Linked DNA regions of Ovis aries. The protein of the gene in region 1 interacts with the protein of each later gene in a biochemical or structural test. Links are inferred from orthologs where the notes say so. Each region holds a gene or a part of one and is shown in the gene's direction. Other genes may lie near its edges.

Region 1 (4,063 bases):
ATGGACTTGACTTCCCAGTCCCATAAGTGTTTTAATTGTCATTATTTAAAACCTCATGTGTTGCCTAAACTAACAGCCACTGAAAGTATAGTCAAGTATTATGGGTCTTCAAGAGGAGTCAAGTAGGAATTGAAATATAACTTTTAAAACAGAGCTGGGTTATCTAGCAGACAGATTAAACATTAACTTTTCATTAAATATGTCGGTCACTGGAAGATGTCCATCATTGTTTCAGTGATTAAGGTTTTCTTGCCTGCCCTTTTATATGTAATATTGATAATTCTACCTAAACCATTTCCTTCTCTGTCTCCTAGATTGCAAGAAAATCTTCAAAATGGATGTTAAGAGCTAACAGGCATGAGCTTAGGATGTGTGATACTGTTCTAAATGCTTATGTGTGTATCAATTCATTTAAAACTCAAAACAGTCCTAGGAAGTAGGGACACCTCTTATTCCCCCCTCCATTTTATAACTAAGAAAAGTGTAAGGTTTTTCTAACAGGAAGGAAAGGTGGACAGAAGTGGCACCAAGACAGTGTGTGAGCCTGCTTTCTGAATCATCTCCGAATGCAGCCCTGTCCCTAGAGCAATGAGCATGTTTTCTGGTGTAGGAGAAATTATTGAGAACAGAGCCTACTAAGCCCAAGGATACCCTTGCCACTTTCCTATCTGCGTACAGGTAGAAATCTCCACCATCCCTTTTAAATTGACCTCATCTGCTCGGAGCCAGCCCGTATACTGGGCACTAGTACCAGGCATTGTGCAAGCCTAGGAAACGCTCTCCCCCGACATCCGTTTTACATGTGTGTGGAGGGAGGGAGGCACAGCCTGGCGCGTGAGCCAGTTCTCCAGAAGGGACGTTTGAGCTAGAATTTCTGGCATAATCGAGCCAGCGCTCGAAAACCTGGTGCTGAGCGTTGGAGGGGGAGTGTATCCTCTCCAAGAAGGAAAGCCTCATGGTGGAATGGCTGATACCTATCCTGGGCGCTCGGGGCCAGGACAAGCTGGCTGTTTCTTCTGATTAAAAGAGGAAGCAATAACTTTGCCTATGACTCCAAACACACTGGTTCGAACTTGGCAGTTAGGAATCCTATGCAGTTGTCTCACGCCACTCAGGGTGTATACGCGAGGAATTTTCACTTGGCTGGAGTGAACTCGCTCGGAGCCGCGCGTGCGCCTCTGATGGGGGTGGGGGCGCGCTGCGCGCGGACGCGGGGCGGGGGGCGGGGAGGAGGTCCCAGGGCGCCCTCCTTTCGCGGTCCCGTCGCGCTACCGGAGCGGACAGCTTCCGGCCGGTGCCTCGGGTCGCGTGGGCGGCAGACCTGTGACCGAGGAGGCCCGGCGGGGGCTACTTCATAGACGTCTTGTTCGTTAGGAGCAAAGGGCGCCTCCTGGAAGAGCGCGTGGAGGGCGCTCCCCGGGTGGAAAGACTCCTCGGGAGGAGTCGAGGGGCCGAGTCTGGGGGCCGCTTCCGCCAGCCCCGTAGGAGGAAAGAGGAGGGGCGGGCTGCTCAGGAGCAGCCTGGGCGGGCCGCCCGCGCTCGACGCAGGCGGGAGGAAGGGAGGGAGCGAGGGGCGAGCTTTGGGGAGCAGCATGGAGACCTCGGCTGACTTGCTGGCCGCCGCCGCCGCGCGGGGCCGGGCTGACGAGGTACGGGCACTGCTCGAGGCTGGAGCGTTGGCCAACGCGCCGAACCGTTACGGTCGAAGCGCGATTCAGGTGGGTCAGCAGGTCTGCCGCGGAAAGGTGGGCGGCTGGGTGGGTGGGTGGATGGCGAGAGGCTTTGGAGGACGAGGTCCGCCAGTGAGTCGGAACCAGGTAAGCGTTTCTTGGTAAAGGGGAGACTTTTCAGACCGAGTTCGGGATCGGAGACCTCTCGGCGACTCTCAGGGGGCTCAGGACGGCCGCGGAGCTGGCTGAGAAGGCGCGTGGGGTTCAGATCTCTAAAACGGTGTGAAGATCTAGAAGGGAGAACCTACGTGTGTTAATATAGACCGATATGCGAAATTGACGAACGTCTGGAGTACGAGTATAAAGACAGTAAGACATGCTGGACCACTTACTCCCGAACTTATAAAATTGTGAATGGAGCTGATCGACTTCTTTGTTGGGGGGGGAGGGGCGGTGAGAGGGAGATTTCAGTGGAAATCTACTGCTGTGTAAGTTGGAATAAAGGTCGATTGAAATTATTCAGAAGCAACCATATATCGTGTTTATTATTTTTTTTTAACCGAGTAAGGAACATATATGCTTGTTTAGGAAATAGACATACATGAAAAAAAAAATTAGTGCAATTATGCCTGAAATAATGCTGCCAATTTAGTTACCACTTGAGTGTCTCTTACCTTTTGGGGTATTTTAAACTTACTTGGTATACATTAATTTCCTGGGAAGTTTTCAGTTCCTCATAGTTTAAAAAATGTCATTTCTCCTCTCCCCACTCCAGTTTTGTATGTGTGAGGATGAGTTGTGAGTTCGTTTTTCTGTGTGTGTGTGTGTGTGTGTGTGTGTGTGTGTTTTGCCTTCACTAACTTCCTAAATCTGGGGCTAAAAATAAATTCTTCCTGGCAGTCACTCCAGTTTTATTCCAGGTTTCGACAACGATTTCTGATTCTGAAAAATAATATTTATATGAAATGTACACTGCAAAAACTCCAGCATAACAAGACAAAGGAAAAGTAACTCAACCTGGAACTTAACAAGTGATTTCACAAGCGAATCGTCCTTTCCTCAAACTATGCTACATAGAACAGATATATTTTATATACTTTTAGATACAAAAATAAAAATAAAATATCCTCAAATCTGAGATTATTTGGGATTTGAAATGTGGAGAGATTTGGAGATTAAAAGGTTGAATGGTTGTAGAAGAGAAGCATGAGTTCTTTTTTTAAAAAATGCATGCATGATTCATAATTGGATATCTCTAAAGTTTTGCCAGCAGTTTGCAGACTGGGTGTTACAGCCTTCTAGTTCTGAAAGATGTTATATTAGACTTTATTGTTTAAATACAAAAAGAAAGATAATTAATTTTAAATTATTTTTAAATAGGATAAGGGCATCGACAAAAGGGATATGATTTTAGTTTTGAACCCTAACCAAATTTGTGTTTAAAAATACTTAGTTTATAGAAAAATTTTAATGACTAAATTAAATTTATATCTTCAGTTTGACTTAAGTACCCTAGAAATATTCATTTGAATGATTTTCTTTTTGCTTTGGATTGCTACTATGATTTAAATATTATGTTACTTTTCATACTTTAATACTGTAGCATATAATAATACCTTTAACCAATTTAATGACTAAGACCAAGGACTTCATTTATCCAACCCATGTAATATATTTTCACCTGCATTATATACAAGCATGGAAGGAGACATACATATATATATATGAGCTCTGGCACTTATAGTAGAGTTTCCAAAAGATTATGGTGTCCTTGGGTGTGGCCCCTTTGTTTTGGAAATTAATTCATAATCCATGAGAAATCCAATAGTGTAAATTTCCCCAGTTTTTATTTTAAAAAATTCTTTCTTCTAATGCACTGTTAGTTTTCCTTTTTGTAGCTGCAAGTTGGTTCACTTAAATTTTCTCTGTGGTTTTTTTTTTTTTTTTAATTAAATCAGTTTCACTTTCTCTAGGATAGAACTCAACAAGCATAGTATAACTTGTTAAGATTCCTTGGTTTGAACAAATTAATTCAAGTTTAATACAGAACTCAACTAAAAATAAATAATTCCTCAATATAGTGTAGCTAATGTAACCAAATAATGGTTACCCTAAAAAAGAATGTTCTATCACCTCCACCCAATGTATAACACTCAAATTGCAAAGTTGCTGTGATTGTGAACAATATTTCAAAATTCCTCTTTGGTAATGCTCTTGTATCATCAAAGATTATTTAGGAACCAAATGAAGTGAGCACCTCCTCTTTAATGAAGTCTGAGTGTGATCTTGGAAGGTGTCTTCCTATTTCTGCTATAACAAATTACCACAAATTTAGTATCAACATAAATTTATTATCTTATGGTTCTGTAAATCAGAATTCTAAAATGGGTCCA
Region 2 (3,161 bases), on another chromosome or scaffold:
CCATCCTCATTTCTGCAGCAACTGCTACGGTCCTTCCTTTTCTCTCGAAGCAAGAAGTATCAAAGAGGAAGAGCTGGTCACTGTCAAAAATGATTTACATTGACTGAAGGAAGGAGAGTCTGTGTTTTGTGTGATATCTTTCTTCATTTTATTCAGGAAAGCTTGAAGGTTTGGGGCTGCAAGTTAATGTACTTGTGATGTTCGATGCCTGTGTTATCTTGAAGTCCTGTAGAAGTGACTGCCCGGTGTACCAGCCCGCCCCGAAGGACTTTCTCAGAACTTTCCTTTTAGGGTCTCAGGCTGCTGGGAGGGAAGCCTGAATACCAGGAAGATCAGGCACCTGGGTGACCTGCAGGGAGACTGTCCATGACCCCCTATCAAGCTGCTTAGCTCTCTGGAGCCCCATCCCCATGTTCAGAGGACCACCCATCTCAGCCGCTGGTGTGGCTAATGCAGAAATGGTCATGGCATCCTGGGTTCATCGTATTGTTGGGTAGCAGTTGTGTTGACACAGAAACAGAGTCTTGGAGGAAGGAAAGTCGACAGGGTTGGTGGAGAGCTTCGTAGGGGACCAGCCAGAGCAGTGTTGACTGTTGTCAGTTTTTGCCTTGTTAACCTGATGCAAAGAGTGAACTCATTGGAAAAGACCCTGATGCTGGGAAAGACTGAGGGCAGGAGGAGGAAGGGGCAACAGAGGATGCGATGGTTGGTTGGCATCACCACCTCAATGGACATGACTTTGAGCAAACTCCAGGAGATGGCGAAGGACGGGGAAGCCTGGCGTGCTGCAGTCCGTGGGTTCGCAAAGAGTCTGCATCCCTGCTGGACGCTCCATCCCTGGTGCGCGTTCCTCTGTGCCCCTCACCTGTCTTGAGCAAATGCTCACTCGTACCTCATTTCAGAGAAACCTCAGGAATTTGTTCAGATTCCAAGACTTCCACTTTGTGATGAACGATTAGAGCTTCATTTGGACATCTCAACTGATCCTCCCTCTGTGAGCGTCTCCTGAGTCTTACATTACAAATGGGGAAACCAAGGACAGAGAAGGAGAATAACTCAGTGGTGCCCACAGGTCTGGTCGTGGGGACAGCAGATACCACCTCCCTCTGTCCCTCTTCACTCATTCTGAGTGGTATTTCGTATCTGCTCTCAGCGCTCGGTCCAGATGTTAATTTTCCTAAAAAGCTGTGGTTTAACAGTGTACGGTGGCCGAGAGATACAAAAGGAAAATGTGGGGGCATGGAAACTTTCCTGGGAGTTCCAACTTTATTTTAGATCTTTGGAAAATAGAGATAATGCTTGTGTGCTTGGCAGACTGCAACCTCTGGGCAGTGAAAATTGCGTGGTGGAGCAAACACAAGGGGAACATACATGAAACTCTGAAAAGACCCAGGCAGAGTGGAGTTCACATAGTTTCCATACGTTTACGAGAGTGCCAGGAAACCAGTCTTGATGAGTAGAGAGGTCGGGAGATGCTGAGTTGGCCAAAAAGTCCATTCAGATTTTTCCACAACATTTTACAGGAAAAGCTGAACGAACCTTTGGCCTACCCAGTATCTGCTGTGAGCAGTTACTTCAGCTCTCGCCCCGGTTGCTAGTGCCAGCCACCGTCCCACCCTGACGACGCCCATGAATTCCTGCTGCGTCAATGTCGCCCAGTTTAGAGGAGCTTCTGCGTGGGGCTGACACACCCTGAATCTTCCCTACCAAATATAGACTGATCTCAAAGCAGTGCTGCAGTTTTTTCTTTTTGCTTTCTCCCAAATTAGACGGCTTAAGTGTCCAGAACGTTGTAAACACTCTGTGTTGTGTTTTTTATGAGAGTTAAAGAAATGGTAAACAAGTGGAGAGGCGAATCTGCTTGTTTCTGAGTACGGTTGCAGTGGCTGGGAGGCTCAGTGTAGTTTAGTCCTTTCGCTTATATCTGCCCTTCAGGTCGTCTAGTTCTGTCACACTGTCTGGAGGGCTCACCTTCCCCTTTTCACACTCACCATGCAGTGGCCCCAAGCAGGAAGCATCCCGCTGGCCCTTGAGTTACCAGGTGCTGCATGGCCGCAAATGGCCCCTCGCCTTGGCCAGCGCTGCCCGGGCTTCTGATGAAATGCACATCCTGAGATGCAGCTGGTTCGGAGAGGGCTGAGAATCGCATTTCTAGCTAGCTTCCAGGTGGTGCGGATGCTGCAGATGCTGCTGGCCTGTGGACCCCGCTTGGAGTGGTTCCCCGGCCACCAGGAAGACGCACCTCCTTCCATGTTGACTTTCTTTCTACTGGAAGCAGAGAAGGACATGGCAGCCCACTCCAGGATTCTTGCCTGGGAGATCCCATGGACAGAGGGGCCTGGCGGGCTGGAGTCCAGGGGGTCGCGAGAGGCGGAAATGACCTGGTGACTACACCACCACCACCTGCTGGCGTGTGGAGTCAGGCGGGCTGGAATCGTGCGTGCTCTCTGTTGATTGCTGTGTCCCGGTGCCCTTGCTAACGGCCCTGGTCTCGATGCTTCTCTCTTCTAGGATTGCCTCAAAGCCTGCCAGGAGCAGATTGAGGTGGTGCTGCTGAACAGCCTGCAGCAGTACCGTCAGGACCAGGGCGACGGATCCAAGTCGGAGGATGAGCTGGACCAAGCCAGCACCCCTACGGATGTTCGGGATATCGACCTGTGAGGATGTGGGGCGGGCCCAATGGGAGGGGTGCGTCCAATCCGCTCTCTCCTTCTCTCTGGTTGTATTTGGTTCTCTTACATTTTAGGATGAAACTTAAAAAAAAAAAAATTCTGCCCCCACCTAGATCCTATTGAAAGATCTTTTAGAAGTGAGAGATAAAGGTCCTATAAAAACAAAATCATTACAAGCATTTGGTGCCTATTTGAAGTACAACAGAAGGGAATCCCTTATATATGCCAAGTTACTGTTTGATGATGTTAAAAGTCATAGTAATATGCTTACAGGAAAACCTGCAGAGTAGCTAGAGAAAAATGTACGCCTGCACTATGGGAACAAATTAGAGACTCTTTTTTTTCATGTTATGAACTAGCACGTATATACCCCTGTTGGATAATTTGGAAGAACTGCGGATGCCACGTATGGCAGGATTGGATTGTGAAGCAATGAACTTGAGAAGGAATTAGGAATCAAGGAGGGACAGGATGGGGAGGGAGTGACAA
Region 3 (2,329 bases), about 140 Mb from region 1:
CCATCCTTGACCCTGTTTATTAAGGAAAAGCAGTTTTGTACTGATCCAAATTATATTTTAGATTGCAATCTATATGTCTTTATCATCACTACTTTTGGAAAAGTTTCTTTTGTTTATTCCTGACATTGAATGGAAAGAGCATTTGGTTCTAGGCAGAAAGCCACCTACAGCTCTGAGACCAGACTTTTCCAAAAGATGGTAATTGTGACTCTTGAAACATTATCTTTAATTCTCAGTAACATTTCATCCTCCTGGGAAGTTTCATCTGTTTTTCATCTGATAAGGTAATTTGTAACTCACAGGGATAGTATGTAAATGAATTTTTAAAACACACTAAATGTAAATGCATGCGGCATTTTTTACATTTTCTTAATGGCCAGACCCAGAATCAGAAGTTGACCTGACCTATCTGTTACTTATGCAGTTTTCTGGAACATACTCTAAAGACCGTGGAATTTTTTTTTTTTAAGTAATCAGGAAGGATATTTCACTGTACTTTGCCAAATATTAAGTAGGAAAGAGATTTGAACTCTGGTCACAGATTTTTAAAGAGACTTGTTTTTTCTTTCTTTCTTTTTTTTTGCAGCTGGTTATATTTTGGGCACTAAATGAAGGTGTTTCCAGGCAGTTTGATTCATTTAGAGATGGATTTGAATCAGTCTTCCCACTCAGTCATCTCCAGTACTTCTACCCAGAAGAAGTGAGTAGCTTGTGTGCAAAAGAAATGGTCATCTCTAATTCCATACCTGTAATTATCTTAGTGAGGTATCTCTGTACTTTTTAGTCAGATACCCTGTTGTTATGAGCAAATAAAATTGTGGAGCGTTGGGCTTTAAGAGGGTAGTTTGGGAAAAATAAGATCATTTCCTGAGTGAGGAAGAATATTCAATATGATGTTTTTTTTTCTATAATACATTTTCTGGCTGAATCTGCAAATCTTTGAACAACTTAGCATTTTAATCTCAATTATTTTTAAGTCCACTTTGATTTGCTACTTATTGAAAATGTGTGTACCTGGCACTTTTAGGCACTAAGTGTCACCTGGAATTGAAAACAGCAAGGGTTTCTTTTGGAATTGGATCCTGGTCCCCACTACCTGGGACTTCCCAGGTGGCTCAGCAATAAAGAATTTGCTTGCCAGTGCAGGAGATGCAGGTTCAACCCTGAGTCAGGAAGATCCCCTGGAGAAGGAAATGGCAGCCCACTCCAGTATTCTTGCCTAGGAAATCCCACGAACAGAGGAGCCTGGCAGGCTACAGTCCATGGGGTTGCAAAGAGTCAAATATGACTTAGTAACTAAACAACAACCTTACTGCTTAGCTATGTGACCTTATCCAGGTTTTCATATATAACCTGACTGACTCGTTCATAAAATTGAGGTAAACTCTGTCTCACTGAACAAGATACATAAAGAACCTGACATTGAGTGACATGTAGTAGATACCAAATTTCACATGTGCGGAATGGATTTTCTCAAAGTAGACAAGTCATCCTGCATATGGGCAGTCAACCAGGTGAGAGATGGATTAATTGGATACTGATGTTAGATTTTTATCCTAAGGGCATGAGCATTTCTTTCCAGCATCTGTCCTCTAGTGACTGTCTTAGTCCTAGACAACCATCTGGCATAGAAGTGCCTTTGCAAAGCGGGAAAACCTCCCCGTTTGCTGTTGGTTCAGCTTTCTTCTCCCACTTCTATCTCCCACTCAATATTCTTTCTGTTAGCTTCCGTTATTGTGTGCCCTTGCGTTTCTAAAAGTCAGGATTTATAAAATCTCTCTGGTCAGAGGTAGATTATGAAGTTAAAGCCTCTAAAGAAATGAGAAGAATTAGGTAGGTTTTGGTTCAGATTAAAGGCTTCTCTAGAGCCTAGTCCCTGCAGATGGTCAGGGCACCCGTTACTGTCAGCTACAGAGGAGAGTGAATCTGTGACTAATAGTGGAAGAGCATGTTGTATAAAGAGCACCAGGCAGAAGCTTGTGGACTTAATATCAGGACACCACAAAGCAGAACACATGCCACTTCGCTCAGTTGTGTCCTTAGTAATCTGTTGCCCTTGTTTAAACACACAGCTGGATCAGCTTCTGTGTGGTAGTAAAGCAGACACTTGGGATGCAAAGACACTGATGGAATGCTGCAGGCCAGATCACGGTTACACTCATGACAGGTAAGGCCTGGGCTCTGCCAGGTTTCAGATACACACATAGGTCTAGGTTTTAAAGTTTGTTTACCTATTAAAGGAGGCTTTCCAATATTTTGGCTTCATTTCTCTCAAGACTGGGACTTGAGGACTGAAAGGGGTTTTGGGCTTTTTTGCCCCAAGTGTTTC
Region 4 (4,168 bases), on another chromosome or scaffold:
AAGCACCCAGGTGATTCTGAGACCTGGGACATTCCAGGTAGCCTCCAGTGTGAGCCTGTTTCTTTTTACAGTCCTTCTCTGCACCTACTGTGGACCAGGCCAGTGCTGGGAAGAGGCCCTATTGGAGCTCCCAGTCTGATAAGGAAAGCAGATAAAGAGATCCAGTGTGCCCGCTCAGTGCTGGAACAGAAGTGGGGGTGGACAGTGGAGGAAGCGAGTAACTTCAATACTTGAGTGTTCCCTGGAAGAAGTGATATTTATATGGGGCCTAGGGATCTCATTCTTGACTGCGTCTTAGTGTTTTTTTTTCCCCTGATGGGTCAGTCCCCACCAGATGGCAGGCAAGTTCATAGAAATCATCAAGCCTTTTGCATCTCTGCCCTTAGTGCTGGCACAGAGCCTGGCATAGAGGAGGGGACAGTACTGCTCAAATCAGCTGATCTGAGCAATGAGAAATGGCTGATGGAGAGGTCCCAGGGCCTCCGGATTAAATGCATTTTCATGCTCAGCATACTCACCTCCTCCCTTTGTGAGATCTAACATGGAATTAATAGTGAAAATTCCACATCATGTTGTAAATGCTTGTACCTGTTTCTCTCTTCCCTTTTTCACTAAACTGTGAGTTCCTTAGCGCCAAGAGTCAAGAATGGGGCTTAGAGCCGGCTCTCAAAACGTTTGTTGAACGAGTGAATCAGTTCACGCAGAAGTTGTGCATAGGGTACTGGAGTTTCCAGCTATAGGAGGGCTTGTAGAAAAGCCCAGAGCTGTATTGGTCCAGATATCCCTCCCCGTTTTCTGACAGCTCCCTTTTGCTTGGGCTCTGGGTGAGAGGAATAGGGTGGGCACACGATTTGAAAGTGAACGGCTTTGGTGACGGAAGTTGAGGGAGAAGTGGCCGGAGCTTGGAGGTGGGCCTGAGAACCGAGAAGAGAGGAGGGGCAGTTTCTAGAGATCTGGCCGAGAGTGTCGGGGCCACAGGTGAGAGTTATCGGGGTCACGTGGGGTCTGCTGACGTTGAGATATGCTTAATGGACATTCTGTCCTCAACTTACAGGCATCGGCCAGATGGGGGTGCGTCGGGGAGGGGGTGGGGCCACCACTCCTCGGACAGGGGCCGTCCCCTCTGAGGGCGGGGAGTGCGAACGCGCCTGGCACCGCCCCGACAAAGCCTGCGCGCGCCCCGACCCCCGATTGGTCGTGCTCCCTCGCGCCGCCGCCCCGTCCCGCCCTCCGCCGCCGGACCGGCGCGCTGCAGCCAATGGGTGACGTCGCCGTCGCCTCCGTCACAGTCCGGGCAGCCAATGGTGGTAGCGCTCGGCGGCTCGTGGCTCTTTCGCGGCAAAAAGGATTTGGCGCGTAAAAGTGGCCGGGACTTTGCAGGCAGCGGCGGCCGGGGGCGGAGCGGGATCCGGAGCGGGATCTAGCCCTCGCCTCGGCCTGCCGCCATGGGCCCGCGCCGCCGCCGCCGACTGCCACCCGGGCCGCGCGGGCCGTGAGCGCCATGGCCGTGGCCGGGGCCCCCGCGGGCGGCCCTTGCGCGCCGGCGCTGGAGGCCTTGCTCGGGGCCGGCGCGCTGCGGCTGCTCGACTCCTCGCAGATCGTCATCATCTCCACCGCGCAGGACGCCAGCGCCCCGCCGGCCCCCGCCGGCCCCGCCGCACCGGCCGCCGGCCCCCGGGACCCTGACCTGCTGCTCTTCGCCACGCCGCAGGCGCCCCGGCCCACACCCAGCGCGCCGCGCCCCGCGCTCGGCCGCCCGCCGGTACGGACATCAGGGACACTGGGCTGAGTGCGCTGCCTTGGACCCCTGCGCAGACCCGGGCGGGGCGCAATGTTTGGCCCGGCGGCAGCGGGGGCGGGGGAGGGTGGGCTGAGGCGTCCAGGCTGGGCGGTGCCGAGCCTGGGTTGGGCCTCGGGGCTCCGCCCTGGGGTGCGGGGTGACCTCGGGCCAGTCCTTGTTTGCTGCTCTGTGCTGTGGGCCTCAGCTTCCTCGCCGGAGCAGACTCAATGATAATAATGGTCCACGTGTATTCAGCTGTCGCTGACTGCATGCCAGGCCTTTGGCTGACTTCAAGGCAGCTAAAACTCACATCCATGCTGTGAGCTCGGTGTTGTCACTGTGCCCATCTGAACTGTGCCCAGAGACGGGAAGTGGCTTGCCCCCTGGTCACAAGGCTGCAAGTGGGATTTAAACTGAGGCCTTCTGGCTTCAGACCATAACTTGTGGCTGGGTGGTGGGCATGGCTGCTTGGGGAGGTCAAAGTGGGGTGTTCTGGGACCAGTCCGTAGAAGAGCCATTGAGGAGACCCTCCTTCCTGCCTCTGGGACTGCCAGGTGCAGGCCTGGCCCTCCGGGCCTCTGGGGACAGGCTGCCTGGCTGGGAGGCCTTCTCTGCAGGGGCGGGGGTAACTGGGCCAGCTGCTGATCCCCTCCCTCTGCCTGTCCTTCCATCTGCCACCCTCCACCCTCCCAGGCCCTGGTTGCCATGGAACCTCATTAATCAGGCAGGCAGACCCCCGGGCCCCAGTGGAAGTCCTGGGTGGGCTAGGCCTCTGGGAGCTGGTGAGGAGGCCCCCAGTACCAGGAGAGAGTAAATGCCCCAGGGATATCCCTTGATAAAGTGCTCCCTGCACAGCGAGAGGCTAAAGACAGTTGAGACTAGGGGGCCCAGAGAGGTGTCTGAATTAGGAGGTGGGGGGAAGGAGGGGGCGGAGGCCTAGAGCTTGGTCCTGTGGGCTGCAGGACAGGGCGTGGAGACCAGTTTGACTGGTGCAGCCTGTGGGTAAAGTTAGGGCATGGATGGGCAGGCAGGATGGGGTCTCAGCACAGTTGGCTGAGCAAGTTGAGGCAGGGAGGCAGGGCCCAGGGCAAGGAGGTGGAAGCCCAGCTGCTGATGGAGGCCTGGGTAGCAGCTGGTCCCTGAGACATCCCAACAAGGTTCCCCCGACCCCTTTGGCCCCCTGCCCAGTACATCCTTCCTTCCGGAATCACTGAGATGCTAATAATAACAATAGGAGGCACCATTGTTTTGAGACTGTTTTGTGAGTTAGGCCATGTGCCAAGCACTTTACCCAATTAACTCATTTAACCCTGTCAACAGCTTTCCCGTTTTACAGATAGGGAAGCTGAGGCTTAGAGATGTTAGAACCTTCCCTGGTGAGTCAGCTCATGAGTGGTGGGACCAGACCAGATTTCCTGAGTGGTTAACTGCTGGCATGCCTTACTTCCTGGAGATGCTAATAGAGATTGTAGGAAGCCCAGGGTCCCTTCCTCCAAATGAGTGAGAGGGAGGGAAGTTGCACAGGGTGGGTCCCCTGATTGGTCTCCTATACCCCAGCAACCTGTCCCTGCAGGTACCAGCTTGGAGCCTGATCGAGTAGCCTCCATTTAGCTGATGGACAGGTGCTTAGGCCCAGGTCCTGCCCTTGGGCAATGGAGCTTCAGGCTTAGAGGGACAGCCAGGGACTGGGATCAGGAAGTTTGCCCTCTGCTCCACACCCAGGGTGTCAGGGGCAGCCTCACTGGGTCTGAGCATTCCATTCATTCAGCAGTTGTTAGTGAGTGCCTCTGAGGTTCTAGGCACAGGCACGTAAAGAGCCTCTGCCGTCACAGTACTTAAGGGCTAGTACGTGTTTTCTGCCGTGAGCAGGAGTAGGGCCCAGTACCACCTTGCTGCTGTAGTTCAGAAACATGGGCCCAGCTTTTGCTGTGCAACACCTCCTAACATTGTACCTGTGAGTAGCCACTGGCTATCTGAGCTGTGGCCTCCACTCACCCTCTGCACTAGCATTTGTTTGGGGGCAGTCCTTGAAACAAGCTACAGGCTCAGCTTCTGCACAAGTGAGCATTCATTGAGTACCTCCTGCCTACAAGGCTCTGTGCAATTCAACCATTCCTCCTGGCTCTTCCGGTCCACATCTCCCCTGTTGTCATGGCTCTTAAAAAACAAACTGGATGTAATGCATATTTACTATGGAAGAGATGCGAAAGTTGAGGGGGACAAGATCCCCAGCCCCATCCATTTTTTCTTTTTTCTCTTCCTGTGTTCCGATAGCACATCATCCCCACTTTAGAGACAAGGCAGCAATTCCTCATGGTCCTCACCCTGATACCAAGGTTACTCTTGAAATGGATTCTATAATAATACAAACTGAAGCAGAGAAAGTGG
Region 5 (3,937 bases), on another chromosome or scaffold:
AAAGTTTCATTATATAGTTAAGGTGCTGAGCTCCTCCTCTTCCCATCATAAAAGGATATTTCCCCCTTTGCAGTTAGCAAGGAATTTGTGGGATGATGCTTTGGAAACTGTCGAGATCCTGTTCCCCATTAACTTTCACCCCAAAGGGTGAGCATCTATTGAAAATGGTTGTCTGAATCACGTAGTTGAGTTAGCATTTTTGATAGCTTACTTTGGTCAGAAGATTTATTCACAAACAGTTCTTCCCCTTAGCGAATGAGGAATTAGCAAATGAGGTATTTGAAGAAGGTAAGTCCCATTGTCAGTTTATCTGACGTGTATTAAACTCCTGTCCACGTGCACCCCACCGTGAATGTCTCCCCTTGAACTGAGCACCTGTGGTATTACTACAACAGCCATTACTAATGAAAAAAGACACCTAACACACCACTCAGCATTGTGCAGGAATTGTTTAATCCTCAAAACAATCCTCTGCGTCAGAGGCTATTTCTCTCATTTTAAAAATAAGTGAGAAAACCTAAAGAATTAAAGCACTTGGTCAAGGTCACACAGCTATTGTACTTACGGAATGGAGCCCAGGAAGGGACTCCAGTGCCATTCCACTCCCTACCCCTAACTCCTGTCTGTAATCACAGGACAGAGTCCAACTACCCAGAATTTGCTTATATAGTGCTCTTACAGATAATACCTTACTTGAAGTTTCCCAACTCTCAAGAGGTAGGCAAAAAGATCCCCCTTTAACAGACTCTGTGGGCTCAAAAACCAGAATTTGAATCCAGGACTAAGCTGGCCTAGAGTGTAGACCTCTGTTGGGGCTGCTAGCGTAAGCTCAATTATTGGGTTTGACAAGTGCAGATGTGATGCAGATGTGGCCAGATGTGAGGGGGCCCACAGCTTGAGAGACAAAAACTCCACCGCGCCACCGTCCTACAGGGCCAAGAGCCACCCTATCTTCCTCCCTCCCTTCAAGCAGCCTCCCGGACATGCGCCCTAAAGACAACTCGCCTCTTTCTAGCCTGCTTTGTACAGGCTCCGCCCATCACCGTCTAGGACCAATCCCTGGGTGAAGGGTGGGGCTGCCACGGGAGTGGGCGGTAACTAAGGGGAGTCAGGAGCCGGGAGTCGTGAGCTGGAGTCAGAACTGCGTCTCTCAACCCAGGTGCCGGTTGCTGAAGCAGAGCGGGCGAGCAATGCTGCCGCCACCGCTTCCTGATTGGCTGCGGGTGGCTCCCTCTTCTTTCTGATTGGCAGCTGGTGAACTAGGTATGTAAATGAAGGGAAGAGGCCTGGGGAAAGAGGGGTACTGGCCGCGGGGTTCTTTGGCAGGTTCGATCCCCCGGTCCGGCAGGTGCGCGCCAGGGCTGTCCGGGATCGAGGCGCACGGGCCTCTCCGTGCCGCCCGCCCGGGCCTGGCGGGTGAATCACACCGCAGCCCGGGAAGGGGGCGGAGGCGCCGGCTCCCTGGCTCCGGCTGCGTGACTCACCCGCCCCCGCCGCCGCCGCCGCTTCGGGAGGAGTAGCCTCCACTGCCTTCCGGAAGCGAGCGGAGGCCGAGAGGGCAGAACGGCCCTCCGGGGATCCCGGCCCGCACGGTCCCTGGTGGCAAGCAGAAATGACCACGTCCCGCGGGGCACTGTAAAGAGTCCTGGGGTCTGGAGAGTCGGAATCCCCGGGGAAAGCCGGCCTGGCTCCGCCAGGGGGCGCCGGGGCCAGAGGGGCGGAGTCGGGAGTGGGGGCTGAATTCCTGCGGTTCCGGACTCTCGGATTTGCTGGGAAGGAGGCGAGGACCCAGTTTTGAGTAGTGTGAGAGGGTCACTCTTGAAGTTCTCCTGGGCAAGGATCTGGGTGCTATACCCTACAGGCTGCCTGGCTTAAAAAAAGCAGGTTGGGTCAGGGGCACCCACCCCGGGGAAAGTGTGGGTCTTCAAACTTCTCTCCGTGACCCCCGTGCCCATCAGGATTTTCCGGCAAGCTTTGTCCACGCTGTCTCTCAAATAAATCCTGAAGCGACCATCTTCCTTCCATGCCCACTGCCACCTTATGCTCCCAAGTCACCGTCTTCGCCTACCCCAAAGACTGCAGTAGCCTCCGAAAGGATCTCAGGGCCGCTCTCCCCTCCCCTCCTCGCTCCCCCTTCCTCTTAGCAGCCAAGGGGATCTTCTGGAAACCTAATCAGTCCACAACACCACTGTCCTCCCTGCTCAAACCCCTTCAGTGGCTTCCCACCACACCCCCCAATAAAATCCAAGCTCCTTGCCTCTGCCTACTCTCGAACCCCCACATCCTCCGTACTCCACCCTCAACCCCCAACCCCCGCACTGACTACAGAGTCCTTTTTCAGCTCAGACTCATCCAGTCTCTAGGCTTTTCTTTGCCTTTGCTGTTCTTTATTCCCAGAATGCCTTCCCCCTGGTTCTTCCATGGCTGATTCTTTCTCGTACTTGAGGGCTCATTTCAGATGTCACCTCCTCAGGGGAGCCTTCCCTGACCACTCTCCAGAAACTTTTAGCATCTTCCTAGCACCATCCGTACATTTCTTGTGTTTGTTTATTGTCTGATGCTATTAGTAGACACTCAGTAAATATTAGATTAAACCATGTGAAACAACTGCTTTTGTAGGTTTTAAAAAAAAAGTTGAATATTGGACATTTCACACTGGACTCTTCATGTTAGCCATTTCACATAGTTCATTGAAGAAATAGATAATAGTTATTATCAATAGTACTTATTTACAGGAGTAATTGCTGTGTACCAGACACTGTCCAAAGTGCTTTTTAAAATCTCATTTATTCCTTAAAACAACTCTAGGAAGTAGATACAATTATCATCAATGTCTTAAAGCTTCCCCAAGAAAACGTAGGCTCAGAGAGGTTAAGTGCTTTGCCCAAGATCACACAGCAATGGTCAGAACTTCACACTGGCTTTCCATAACTGAATGACTCTTCCCACAGATGATGCTGAGCAAGGGCCTGAAGCGAAAGCGGGAGGAGGAGGAGGAGGAGGAGAAGGAAACCCTGGCAGTGGACGCCTGGTGGCTGGATCCCAGCCACTCAGCAGTAGCTCAGGCACCCCCAGCTGTAGCCTCCAGTTCTCTCTTTGACCTTTCGGTGCTCAAGCTCCATCACAGCCTGCGGCAGAGTGAGCCGGACCTGCGGCACCTGGTGCTGGTAGTGAACACACTGCGGCGAATCCAGGCATCCATGGCACCCACGGCTGCCCTGCCACCTGTGCCCACCCCACCTACAGCCCCCAGCGTGGCTGACAACCTGCTGGCCAGCTCTGATGCTGCCCTCTCAGCCTCCATGGCCAGCCTTCTGGAGGACCTCAGCCATATTGAGGGCCTGAGCCAGGCCCCACAGCCCCTGGTAGATGAGGGGCCACTAGGCCGCCCTGCCGGGGGAGCCTCACCCAGCCTGGGCGCCTTGGACCTGCTGGGCCCAGCCACTGGCTGTCTGCTGGACGATGGGCTCGAGGGCCTGTTTGAGGACATTGACACGTCCATGTATGACAGTGAACTCTGGGCACCAGTCTCTGAGGGCCACAAATCCAGCCCTGAAGATGGACCAGGCAAGGAGGTAGGTCCAGATCTGGACGAGGCCGAGCTGGACTACCTCATGGACGTGCTGGTGGGCACACAGGCGCTGGAGCGACCACCGGGGCCAGGGCGTTGACCCCTCTGGGCCGGGATGTTGATCTGATGTCCAAACTGAGCCTGCTGGCTGGACCAACTCTCCTTGGAAAGACACAGCTGGCTTCCCTTGAGAGGGGCTTTGGAGAGAAAGAATCCAGTCCTGGGCAACTTCACCTCCATCCTCTTGTCTCTGACTGATGGGGAGGGGAGTCTGGGATTGGCCCTTGTGATGAAATGACAGGGCCTGGTGGCTGGAATGTGATTGGACTAGGTCCTGTGCTGAATCCCTGGAGGCACAGCCTGGTA
Region 6 (3,857 bases), on another chromosome or scaffold:
ATGTGACTGTATCTTTATAGATAAAGGTCAAGTGTCTGCGACACTTGTCGAAAAAAAATTAACAAAAAAAAGAAACCCCACAGACACACAGGAAGCAAGGACTCAGTAAACATTTGCTGAATGAATGAATGAAACAAAGACACAAATGAGAACATGTTTTCTGCTAGCGATGGAGCAGAAAGACGACAGCAGCACCTCCCGTCCCTCGACCCATCTCCCCGCTTAGAGAGAGTGAGAGACAGGTAGTGAGACTCAGGCTCGGCTTGCAGCCCGGAGTTGGGAATCCTGGGTGGCCCAGGTTGCCATGGCATCGCATTGGACTCCACCCTCTCTCTTCTCCCGCCCCAACGCCCAGCCAGAGTTAAGGCAGCCAGTCACGTGCCCTTCAGCGTAACCACACCTCTGCTCCTCCAAGCAATGTCAAGCGGTCACGTGTGATAGCAACAGATCATGTGGTTGCCATCTCTCTCCGCCTCTTTCCCCTCCTCGCCCCTTTCTCGTTCAAAGCCGCTTTCTGGCTGCCCCTCCGCGCATGAGTAGTCCGGTCACGTGGTCCGAACGTCCGGCGTTGGCCCCGCCCCTCCAATTTCCGCGCGCCTCTTTGGCAGCTGGTCACATGGTGAGGGTGGGGGTAAAGGGGGCCGCTCTAGCCTGCGGCCTGTGTCTATGGTCGGGCCCATAGCGTCCAGCTGCCCAGGACAGACCTCGAGTGTATGGCGCTGCAGGAACCGGCTCCGGGGTCCGGATAACGGGCCGACCCCGCAGCTCCTGACACGGGGCGAGGTGAGTGTAGCCCTTTTCAGGAATGGGGACCATTCTCGCCGTCCACTGCTTCCTACGCGGGCTGGTTATGGAAGGGTTGCTCGAGGGCGGGAAGTGGGGCAGGATGTGATAATGTTCCTTTGTGGCCGAAGGGAGGTGTAATTTCAGGAACTGGGTGTCGGGTCTTTGATGTAGGGGGTGTGTCTTATGGGATTTCCCTTGTGTGGGGCTTGATGGTCCCCAAGGAAAATGCATCTTTGAAAAAGTTATAGGGCCTCACGTGGCTGGAGGGTTTGGGGTTAGAGTTATTGTGTTACCTAGGGGGCTGCCTTCAGGGAAGCTTGGGAATGCTGTTGGTGTTGTCTTCGTGATGTCTTTTGTGGGAGTCACTTTGTTGCTGCAGGCTCATTGAGCCTCTGTGATTGTAGGGCCTCCTCTGGTCTGAGAATGGCTACCTCTCGATACGAGCCAGTGGCTGAGATTGGTGTCGGTGCCTATGGGACAGTGTACAAGGCCCGTGATCCTCACAGTGGCCACTTTGTGGCCCTCAAGAGTGTGAGAGTCCCCAACGGAGGAGGTGCTGGAGGGGGCCTGCCCATCAGCACCGTTCGGGAGGTGGCCTTACTGCGGCGTCTGGAGGCTTTTGAGCATCCCAATGTTGTCAGGTGAGAAGAAGATGGAAGGGTGGGAATGGGTCGTGAAAGGAAAAAGACAGCCTAACCTGTAGATGTGGAGTGGTGGTCAGAAGAGGAGTGGGAACCCTGAGGAAATAGGGGAGGCCATGTTGGGTCCAAGACCATTGCTCAATGAGTGACCATTTGTTCTGGCCAGGCTCATGGACGTCTGTGCAACAGCCCGAACTGACCGGGAGACCAAAGTGACCCTGGTGTTTGAGCATGTGGACCAAGACCTCAGGACGTATCTGGACAAGGCACCCCCACCAGGCTTGCCAGTGGAGACCATAAAGGTAAGTAGGGCGGGCAGACACTGAGAGATAGCTTGAGACCTTTGTGGTAGTTTGTTGTAATTTCAGGTGTGGCACCTGATTCCCAGTTTCTCTGTACTTCCCCCTTCCAAACCAGGATCTGATGCGCCAGTTTCTAAGAGGCCTGGATTTCCTTCATGCCAACTGCATCGTTCACCGAGACCTGAAGCCAGAGAACATTCTGGTGACAAGTGGTGGGACAGTCAAGCTGGCTGACTTTGGCCTGGCCAGAATCTACAGCTACCAGATGGCACTTACACCTGTGGTCAGTAGAATGATGGTGGCCAGGATGGGGCCAGAGTGGGGTCTGGCTGGGGGAGAAGAGTGATTGCCCATAACAGTTGAGAAGGAGCGTGTTTTTCCATGTGCTTTGCAGTAACTTGCAGGACTCTCATCCGCATTACTTATTCCCATCAGGTTGTTACACTCTGGTATCGTGCTCCAGAAGTTCTTTTGCAGTCTACGTATGCAACACCCGTGGACATGTGGAGTGTTGGCTGTATCTTTGCAGAGATGTTTCGTCGAAAGTATGGGGCCCAAGTATCCCAAACATTTTGAATTTCCCAAGTTTTTTATTCATAAGCCACGCCTATACCCTGCCTGCTCTTCCACTTACTATTGGCCACCTTGTCCATAGCCGGAAACTCTGAAATGTTCTGGAATTAGGAATTTCATAGCCCTTTATTCTCCACACCCTATGTTTTGAGCCACTAAACAGTATCTACCACCCTGTCTTTGTAAAACTGCTACTGGAATGACTGTCTCTTTTCACCTTAGGCCTCTCTTCTGTGGAAACTCTGAAGCTGACCAGTTAGGCAAAATCTTTGAGTAAGTGACCTGCAAGGGGGAAGAACTTTGCATTCCGAGTCCTTGACTTTGCATTCTGCTGAGTCCTTGACAGCAGCTGGCTCTGCCCCTGGAGATGGGGGCTGGAAAAAGGCCCTCCTGACCAGAATTCTCTTGTTCCCCATAGCCTGATCGGACTGCCCCCGGAGGATGACTGGCCCCGAGATGTCTCTCTACCCCGAGGAGCCTTTTCCCCCAGAGGGCCCCGCCCAGTGCAGTCAGTGGTCCCTGAGCTGGAGGAATCCGGAGCACAGCTGCTGCTGGTAATAGACTCAGGCATGGGCACAGGGCGAGACTACAGGGGGAAATCACGTGTTTGTCACTCAGTCCTGTCAGACTCTTTACAACCCCATGGACTGTAGCCCACTGGAGTGGGTTGCCATTTCCTTCTCCAGCGGGTCATCCCAGGGATTGAATCTAGGTCTCCTGCATTGCAGGCAGTTTATTTTACCACTTGAGCCATCAGTGGGGGGAAATGGAGCAGGATAAAAGGGACCCAAATGCATTGTTGTTACTGAGACTTGATAATGAACAGGTTGGTTTTTATTACTGTTTTGAACGGCTGGCCACAAGAGGGATAGAAAAAAATCACCCATTCTAGGTATTGTTAGGGTTAAGCAGGAGTCCCTTTTGTTTCTTCCATGTTTTCTGACATTTGCGTCTCTTCTCAGGAGATGCTGACTTTTAACCCACACAAGCGAATCTCTGCCTTCCGAGCCCTGCAGCACTCTTATCTACACAAGGCAGAAGGTGACGCAGAGTGAGCAACAGAATGGCTGGAACAGAACCAAGGCGAGAGACACAAATTTCCCTTCTTTTGAACACTTGAGTGGAGAGCCCCACCACTGAGAAGGCAACCTCTGCCTTCACCTCTGAAGCTGTGGAGACGACTCCTCCAACTTTTTACAGACAATATTTTACTGCCTTAACAATATTCCCCTCCCACCCTTCTTTTTGAGGCTTATCCTTATCCTGTGTCCTTACACCAAGAGATATGTCCCTTGTTCTCCCCTTCTTTATACCTTTATATTGGGATCCTTTTTTATACAGGACAAACAAAACAAATATGGTCTTTTTTTTTTTTTAATATTTCTTCCTCTGATTGGCTTTACTGTTTGGGAATTTGGAAAAAACCATTTGGAAGATGGAATTTCCTTGCAGATTCTCTTTAGATCACAGGGTCAGTGGAGCCCCTCTACTAACAAGGGAAGGAAAGGCATTTACATGGCTTCTTTGATTATAGAGTTTAAATGGTTTTTATTTT

Evidence for each region.
Region 2: the proteins of cyclin-dependent kinase inhibitor 2A (region 1) and CCND2 form a complex in vitro, tested with the Homo sapiens proteins (2 studies listed by BioGRID). The link is inferred for Ovis aries from reciprocal best matches to the Homo sapiens genes CDKN2A and CCND2.
Region 3: the proteins of cyclin-dependent kinase inhibitor 2A (region 1) and TRIP12 form a complex in vitro, tested with the Homo sapiens proteins (2 studies listed by BioGRID). The link is inferred for Ovis aries from reciprocal best matches to the Homo sapiens genes CDKN2A and TRIP12.
Region 4: the proteins of cyclin-dependent kinase inhibitor 2A (region 1) and E2F1 form a complex in vitro, tested with the Homo sapiens proteins (2 studies listed by BioGRID). The link is inferred for Ovis aries from reciprocal best matches to the Homo sapiens genes CDKN2A and E2F1.
Region 5: the proteins of cyclin-dependent kinase inhibitor 2A (region 1) and SERTAD1 form a complex in vitro, tested with the Homo sapiens proteins (2 studies listed by BioGRID). The link is inferred for Ovis aries from reciprocal best matches to the Homo sapiens genes CDKN2A and SERTAD1.
Region 6: the proteins of cyclin-dependent kinase inhibitor 2A (region 1) and CDK4 form a complex in vitro, tested with the Homo sapiens proteins (12 studies listed by BioGRID and IntAct, with this or other methods). The link is inferred for Ovis aries from reciprocal best matches to the Homo sapiens genes CDKN2A and CDK4.

Annotation. Positions count from the first base shown.
Region 1 is NC_056055.1:90,755,901-90,759,963, reverse strand, and holds the start of cyclin-dependent kinase inhibitor 2A, read left to right. Parts: upstream 1-1,263; 5' UTR 1,264-1,592; coding exon 1,593-1,718; intron 1,719-4,063. UniProt on the Homo sapiens protein: Acts as a negative regulator of the proliferation of normal cells by interacting strongly with CDK4 and CDK6. This inhibits their ability to interact with cyclins D and to phosphorylate the retinoblastoma protein.
Region 2 is NC_056056.1:211,597,775-211,600,935, reverse strand, and holds the end of CCND2 (G1/S-specific cyclin-D2), read left to right. Parts: exon of another isoform or gene 1-1,731; intron 1,732-2,511; coding exon 2,512-2,661; downstream 2,662-3,161. UniProt on the Homo sapiens protein: Regulatory component of the cyclin D2-CDK4 (DC) complex that phosphorylates and inhibits members of the retinoblastoma (RB) protein family including RB1 and regulates the cell-cycle during G(1)/S transition.
Region 3 is NC_056055.1:231,805,639-231,807,967, reverse strand, and holds part of TRIP12 (E3 ubiquitin-protein ligase TRIP12), read left to right. Parts: intron 1-586; coding exon 587-700; intron 701-2,072; coding exon 2,073-2,167; intron 2,168-2,329. UniProt on the Homo sapiens protein: E3 ubiquitin-protein ligase involved in ubiquitin fusion degradation (UFD) pathway and regulation of DNA repair.
Region 4 is NC_056066.1:63,140,864-63,145,031, reverse strand, and holds the start of E2F1 (transcription factor E2F1), read left to right. Parts: upstream 1-1,368; 5' UTR 1,369-1,501; coding exon 1,502-1,762; intron 1,763-4,168. UniProt on the Homo sapiens protein: Transcription activator that binds DNA cooperatively with DP proteins through the E2 recognition site, 5'-TTTC[CG]CGC-3' found in the promoter region of a number of genes whose products are involved in cell cycle regulation or in DNA replication.
Region 5 is NC_056067.1:49,178,415-49,182,351, reverse strand, and holds the start of SERTAD1 (SERTA domain-containing protein 1), read left to right. Parts: upstream 1-1,137; 5' UTR 1,138-1,263; intron 1,264-2,951; coding exon 2,952-3,671; 3' UTR 3,672-3,937. UniProt on the Homo sapiens protein: Acts at E2F-responsive promoters as coregulator to integrate signals provided by PHD- and/or bromodomain-containing transcription factors. Stimulates E2F1/TFDP1 transcriptional activity.
Region 6 is NC_056056.1:161,900,619-161,904,475, forward strand, and holds CDK4 (cyclin-dependent kinase 4), read left to right. Parts: upstream 1-1,209; coding exon 1,210-1,427; intron 1,428-1,593; coding exon 1,594-1,729; intron 1,730-1,844; coding exon 1,845-2,012; intron 2,013-2,164; coding exon 2,165-2,274; intron 2,275-2,524; coding exon 2,525-2,575; intron 2,576-2,720; coding exon 2,721-2,856; intron 2,857-3,264; coding exon 3,265-3,357; downstream 3,358-3,857.